Ovis aries: one gene and its partner. The protein of the gene in region 1 purifies or fractionates together with the protein of each later gene. This does not show direct contact. Links are inferred from orthologs where the notes say so. Each region holds a gene or a part of one and is shown on either strand. Other genes may lie near its edges.

Region 1 (3,924 bases):
GGGTGAGCCCAGTCACCGGGGCGCGCAGGAGCCCAGCACACACTCGGCGGGGGGCCCCCAGCCCCCTGGCCCACTGGGGCCCGCCCGGGGGAAGGCTGTTGGCTCCACCTTTGAGAGTTTCAGGATCAACATTCCTGGGAACACAGCCCCTTCTGGCAGACTGCTCAGCCCTGGCTTCTGTAACACGTTCCGGCCGGTGGACAGCAAGGTGCAGAGGAGAGCGAGCCCCTCGCCCCTCTTCTCTGTCAGGAAGACGAAGCAGCTCAAGAGCGAGATCTATGACCCCTTCAACCCCACGGGCTCCGACTCCAGCTCCGCCAACAGCAGCCCTGAGCACCTGGGCCTCCTGCCCTCGGAGATCACGCGGACCATCTCTGTCGACAGCCCCAAGGCCCCAGCGCTGCCCCCCGTGCGCTGCGTCACCTCCTACACAGTGCAGACCGGCGCGGGGAAGGAGCTGGAGCCCCCCCAGGGGCCCTCCAGTCTGTCTGAGCTCCAGGACGAGGAGCCCTGCGCACAGGCACAGCGGCCGTCCCCACCGGAGCCCTGGGGCGATGAGGAGCTGCCTCCCCACAGCTCCTTCTTCGGCTCTGAGGGCCGGACAGTGACCTGCGTGACTGTGGTGGAGCCCGACACGCCGCCCAGCCCTGACGCCCCGCCTGCGACCACCCACAGGGTCGTGGAGCTGCGCTCCCCCTCCCGCTCCCGCTCCCGCTCCAGCTCCCGCAGCCGGAAGAAAGGCCCCCAGCCGAGGGTGGTCACCAGGGAGCAGCGGGCCGGCCGCTCAGGCTCCCGCTCATCCTGCTCAGGAGACCGGAGTTCCAGGTCTGCCTCGCCGCCAGCAGGCGAGGACCAGCACAAGAGACACCGGCCCAAGGCCCGGGGCCGCAGGTCATCCAGCGAGCGCTCCAGCAGCCGCGAGCGCGCCAAGCGGAAGAAGACGAAAGACAAGAGCAGGGAGCGGGGCAGAGGCTCCTGGGGCCACAGCCGGCGGAGGTCCCGCTCCCGCTCTGGGAGCTCATCCCACGAGCAGCGCGAGGGCCGCAGGAAGAAGAGGCGCCGGTCAGGGTCCAGGTCTCGGGGAAGGGAGTGCTCCCCGCCCAGGCACCCCAGGGAGAGGAGGGGGCGGCCGAGAGACCGGCGCGGCTCCCGCGAGAGGCGGCGGCGAAGGTCCAGGTCCGCCAGCCCGGAACACAGGCCCCGGGCGCACCGGCGGCCTCGGTCCCGGGAGAAGCGCCCGCGGCCACACCCCCACTCTCCTGAGCGGAAGTTGGCCCCGAAAGAGGCTTCTGCAGCACCCCCTCCCCAGGGGGAGCCCAGGCCAGACAGGGAGACCCCGGCCAGGTCCCCAGCTAGGCCCCCATCCTCAGCGGGAGCAGACGGCTTACCAGAAGGGCCCGCAGTTGACAAGGCCGCCCCAGTCCCGGAGGTGCTGGCCGAGTATCCAGCGGAGGATGTGGACTACGGCGACTCTGTGGAGGCGGGGCACCTCTTTGAGGACTTTTCCAGTGACACCATCTTCATGCAGATTGATGATATGAGCTCCCCGCCCTCCCCGGAGAGCACGGACTCCTCTCCGGAGCGTGACCTCCTGCCCAAGCCCACCGTGCCCCCAGCTGGCCCCCAGCACGACACCAGCCTGGCGGTGGCCGTCATCCGGAGGGAGGTGTCCCGGATCCACGGGGAAGACGTGGCTCAGCCCTCGCCTGGGGCCGAGGGCCCCCAGGAGAAGCGCCCGCTCCAGCAGGAAGCGGACGAGCCCACTGCAGTGCCCTGCGCCCTGGGAGCCCAGGCCCCAGGCGGGACGCCTGTGGGGAAGGAGGAAGGCCCCTCTCAGAACCCTCTGCTGCGAGCTAAGGCGCTGGTGAAGAGGGTCACTTGGAATCTCCAGGAGGCGGAGTGCGGGGCCCCGGCCGATGACAGAGGCCTGTGTGAGTAGGCGCTTTGGGGGGCGGGGAGTGATCCTCGGGTGACTCCCAGGCCGCCTTGGTCGTTGGGGGTGGGATGGCAGCACCTGCCCTGGGGTCCTTGCTCCGGGACGCTTTTCTGGAATTTTTTAGCCAGGAGGCAGTCTTGTGGCCTGGAGGGCCCCAGTACACCCACCCCCGTATGTTGGCCCCCAGGGACACCACTTCACAGGCCACAGAAGCCTCGGGAAGGAGTCTGGGAATCTGACGACGTGGGCCCCATGGCTGGGCTCCATCAGGCACCCTTCTCTGCGCTGCCTGCCCCTGCTTATGTGCTTCCAGAGCCTGGCTTCCCCCCAACTGACCCCTCTCAGGTGGGCCCCTGGGCTGGAGGGATGTGGCCTAGCACCCAGGCTACGCGGGCTGGGCTGGGCTGGGGCTGAGGCCTGCAGGCACCAGCCCTTTGCTGCCTGGGCTCTTCGGGTTCAGAAGTGGGGGTTGAGGGCACAGGGTAGTGAGTGTGTAGAGGCTGAGCAGGCTTGTGTTCTCGCCCAGGTACAGAGCCCCAGCCTGCCCCCCGGCCCAGCCCTGCCATCAGGCATCCCACCATATGCACCTATCAGCCAGCCCGCAGTCCAGTTCCTCCTCCAGGGGAGCCAGCCCCTCCCAGGCTGCGGGGCAGCCCAGAGCCTGGCCCCAGTGTCCACCATCCCGACTGCAGCCTCAGAGCCAGCCGGCCACGCTGCCGCCGCCACTGCTACCAACGACTCTGAGGAGAGGACGGCTCCTCCCAGGCCGGCCCCAGAGAAGGCCAAGAATGAGGAGGTGAGACCCTGCCCTTCCCCCAGGGGCAGGCGCGGGCCGGTAGTCCGGTGCTGAGCCTTCACGGTGTCCTCGCCCCCAGTACATGAAGAAGCTGCACGTGCAGGAGCGGGCCGTGGAGGAGGTGAAGCTGGCCATCAAGCCCTTTTACCAGAAGAGGGAGGTGACCAAGGACGAGTATAAGGACATCCTGCGCAAGGCGGTGCAGAAGGTGGGCGGGGGCTCAGAGCCCTGGGCGGGGGCGGGGGCGGGGCCTGAGGGCCCGGGGCGGGGCGGGGGGCGGGGCCTGAGGGCCCTGGGCGGGGCGGGGGCGGGGCCTGAGCCCTGGGTTGTGAGGTGGGCGGGGCCTGAGGGCCCTGGGCGGGGGCGGGGTCTGAGGGCCCTGGGCGGGGCGGGGCCTGAGGGCCCTGGGCGGGGCGGGGGCGGGGCCTGAGCCCTGGGTTGTGAGGTGGGCGGGGCCTGAGGGCCCTGGGCGGGGGCGGGGGGCGGGGCCTGAGGGCCCGGGGCGGGGGCGGGGCCTGAGCCCTGGGTTGTGAGGTGGGCGGGGCCTGAGGGCCCTGGGCGGGGGCGGGGGCGGGGGTCTGAGGGCCCTGGGCGGGGCGGGGCCTGAGCACCCTGGGCGGGGGCGGGGGCGGGGCCTGAGCCCTGGGTTGTGAGGTGAGCGGGGCCTGAGGGCCCTGGGCGGGGGCGGGGGCGGGGCCTGAGCACCCTGGGCGGGGGCGGGGGCGGGGCCTGAGCCCTGGGTTGTGAGGTGAGCGGGGCCTGAGGGCCCTGGGCGGGGGCGGGGGCGGGGTCTGAGGGCCCTGGGCGGGGCGGGGCCTGAGGGGCGGGGGGCGGGGCCTGAGCCCTGGGTTGTGAGGCGGGCGGGGCCTGAGCGCCCTGGGCGGGGCGGGGGCGGGGCCTGAGCCCTGGGTTGTGAGGTGAGCGGGGCCTGAGGGGCGGGGGCGGGGTCTGAGGGCCCTGGGCGGGGCGGGGGCGGGGCCTGAGCCCTGGGTTGTGAGGTGGGCGGGGCCTGAGCGCCCTGGGCTCCGTGGCCACACCCCACACCCCCTCGCTGTAGCTTAGGTGCTTGGGGTGTAAAGGTGGCTGTTTGTGAGCAGTTGTTAGAGGTTAAGCAACACTACGTTTAACCCCACTCACGGCTAGGAAAATGAGACTCCTAGAGGTGGACGTGCCAGGTCGCCTCAGGAGGGCC
Region 2 (3,238 bases), on another chromosome or scaffold:
GTTCGATCCCTGGTCCCTGAGTATCCCACATGCCATGCAGCAACTAAGCCCATAGCCACAACTACTGAGCCTGTGCTCTAGAGCCCAGGAACTGCAACTACGGAAGCCCTAGAGCTGTGCTCTGCAACAAGAGAAGCCACCACAATGAGAAGCCCGCGCGCCAAAGTGACAGAGTAGCCTCCGCTCTCTGCAATCAGAGAAAGGCCATGTGCAGCAAATGAGGACCCAGCACAGCCTAAAAACAAACAAACAACAAAACCGAACGACTAGAATCTTGTACAAGGAGGTACTTAGCTCTTTTATAGACTCAGCTGGAAAGCTGGGCATAACACAGCACTGTCTGTCTCTATCTTTGGGACCATAGATAAGATTCTGTGAAATTCTTTACCCTGAAGAAAAGCTTACACTGAGTGGTATTTAGGGGCTCAACAACAGCATTCCTATCAGGATGCTATTTTCTTGGCATCTGCTCCAAAATGGATGGCAGTCAGATGGGTGTTTGCTTACCTGGTCATAGTTATCCTGTCCATGAAAGAAGGGCTCCTTTCGAAAGATCATGCTTGCTAACATACAGCCCAAACTCCACATATCCAAGCTATAATCATACATCTATGGAAATAAAGAAGGGGGTTACAAATGTCATTTTTCTGACCTGAGTTTCTAATCTTCTATAGCTATTTTAAAATTCAAAACCAAAAAAAGTAGCTGAGACAAATCCATCATTATCATTTTATCATTTTGGGGTAGAATATAGACTGGATTTTGAATGTAACCAAACTGACTATAAATAAAAACCAGGAAAAAGAAAAAGCCAGGAAAAGCCCTAAGCAAATGTAAGAAGAACTCAGTGATGCCTCATTAACAGCTTTACCTGGTAGTCCACAAGGAGCTCTGGTCCCTTGAAGTACCTGGAGGCCACTCGGACATTGTACTCCTGGGCGGGATGATAGAATTCTGCCAGACCCCAGTCTATCAGTCGCAGCTATAAATATGACAGAAGCAAAGCATGTGAAGGGAGTGTCTCCAGACGCCTCTGTCTTACAACAAGGCCACATCCCATTTGATAATCTTTGGCCACATAAAAAATGTTATCAACTGCACTGGCTTTTAAAAAGGCACATGTACCTTCTGGGAACTGCTAAGAGGTCATTTCTAGAGCAGAGCACTTGGTTGGAATCTTAGTTGTTTTTCCTTAACATTTAAATTATCCTGGCTTATCACTTCTCTAGATCAATAAAGCTTAAGCTTGTCTTCTGTGCCCATAACCAGCTGCAAGTGTTAACACATCCCTCATTACTCAACAGTTTCCATTACAAGCTCTAGTCGTAACAGAAAGGGTTGGGGACATGTGCCCCACTCCAGGATTGAAGCACTACTCTAGCTCTTCACTAATCTAACACTAGTTGATTCATTTACTCACCAGTCAGGGGCAATCAGAACTGAGGTTCAAAAACAGGAGGGCCCCATGTGTACTTTTAAGGCCAGGCAGATTGGTCTGAGGGTCATTAAGAAAGGAAGTAAAAATCACCAGCTGTAGTTTCTTTTTGAGGCCCTCTAGGAAAACCATGACCATAGCAGACAAGCGACTACAGTTAGGGTCAGCTGTCTACTTTCCTTGTGTGCTACACTTATGTGAAGTAGAAACCAACACTGGAATCTGGAGAAATAACAGTGTCATAAGTCTGCCAAAGGAAACAGCATGGGTCTATAGAAACCACCTAGGTACTGGCCAGAGTTCGGGTCGAGCCTTCCAATGAAGGCTTGTTGCTGCCTGGCTGTAATGGTACCTTTTTCTGCTGGTGATCTATCATGACATTGTGAGGTTTCACATCCCTGTGCATGATTCCCTTGCTGTGGCAGTAATCCAGAGCCTATTAGATGAGAAAGCACAGAGAAAAGTAAGCAAACCCTCAACCACCCGTGCCCCCCAGTGCAAGTATATGCTCATTGTGACAGCTTGATTTGAACACAATCTCCCAAAGGGTAGTCTTACTGTCTGTAGTAAAAGAGAAAAAACATGCTTCAGGAGGCACCCCTTGCTCCCTGGGCACACTATGCTGGCAGCTGGTAGAAAGGGGGCTGTGGAGAGGACACCAAGGGCTATTATAGAAGTTTCTTTAAAAGGGGGATGGTATATTAATACTTATTCAGGCATTCCTCTCCTACTTGGCGCTGGTAGCAACAGACCAGCCACCTGGATTTAGAAATCATATGCTGGCTTAATTTGATGTGTTTAAAACCAGACTGAGGAACCACACTGGAGTCACTTCGCATAATAGTTCAAACAACACATGAAGGATCCACATGGACATGAAAAATGACATCCCAATCTTATCTGCAACACGGCTCGTCTTTCAGGTAAGTGTCCCATATGAGTTTTCTAGATTAACATGTCTTCTAATATTAGTATTATCCTTAAAAACAATCCTTGAGCCAGTTGGGCTTCACAAATTATGATTATGACTCTAAGGGAGAAAATTGCTTCCTATAAGATCACTGATATGGAGCTAAGTTTTTTAAATGTACAAGTCAATGGTTTTTTAGTAAATTCCTCAAGTCGTGCCACCATGACCACAATCCAGTTTTAGAATTTTTTCATCATCCCAAGAACTCCCTTAAGCTTCCAATCCTATCTGCTGCCTCCTTTCCTCTCCTCTCCTCCCAACCACTGCTCTACCACCTGTACTACAGGTCTGCCTTTTCTGGATCTTCATAAAATGAAGTGATACAATGTAAGTACTTTATCTTCTCCTATGCAGCACAATTTTCCTAAGATTTACCCATGTTGCTTTGCTGAATCCCTGGCTTCTCCCCACAAGATGCCAGCAGCATCCCTCCAATTGTGAGAACCAAAAATGGCTCCAGACATTGCCAAACGTTCTGAGGGACAAAGTGAGCCTGATTGAGGACCGCTGGGATTAGAATAGCAAGGGCACTGTACTAGGAATATATGAGCCAGAATATGACCCATACAACCAGTGCTCTAGGAATATGCAAATTTGCATTTCCCAGACACAAAAGAATATACAGTATATGATGCTTTTCACATGAAGGTCAAGAACAGGTGAAACCAAACTATGGTGGAAAAGGTGAGAACATATAATCTATGCAAGGAGAGAAATCTTCTGTAACTGCACTGTCCTATATGGTACTTCAACTTAATTTTTCTCTTTGTCTTGTTTTCTATTAACAGTGGTAGCAAGACTCAACATTGGATCTGGGGCAGTGTGTAGGGAAC

Evidence for each region. Proteins that work in one complex are often made in the same cells at the same time.
Region 2: the proteins of PHRF1 (region 1) and CSNK2A2 purify together in Homo sapiens (affinity purification with mass spectrometry; 3 studies listed by BioGRID and IntAct, counting the BioPlex papers as one, with this or other methods). This does not show direct contact. The link is inferred for Ovis aries from reciprocal best matches to the Homo sapiens genes PHRF1 and CSNK2A2.

The regions. Positions count from the first base shown.
Region 1 is NC_056074.1:47,078,790-47,082,713, reverse strand, and holds part of PHRF1 (PHD and RING finger domain-containing protein 1), read left to right. Parts: coding exon 1-1,931; intron 1,932-2,060; coding exon 2,061-2,281; intron 2,282-2,462; coding exon 2,463-2,732; intron 2,733-2,811; coding exon 2,812-2,940; intron 2,941-3,924.
Region 2 is NC_056067.1:25,611,577-25,614,814, forward strand, and holds part of CSNK2A2 (casein kinase II subunit alpha'), read right to left. Parts: exon of another isoform or gene 3,194-3,238; intron 2,359-3,193; exon of another isoform or gene 2,244-2,358; intron 1,872-2,243; coding exon 1,788-1,871; intron 983-1,787; coding exon 872-982; intron 610-871; coding exon 508-609; intron 1-507.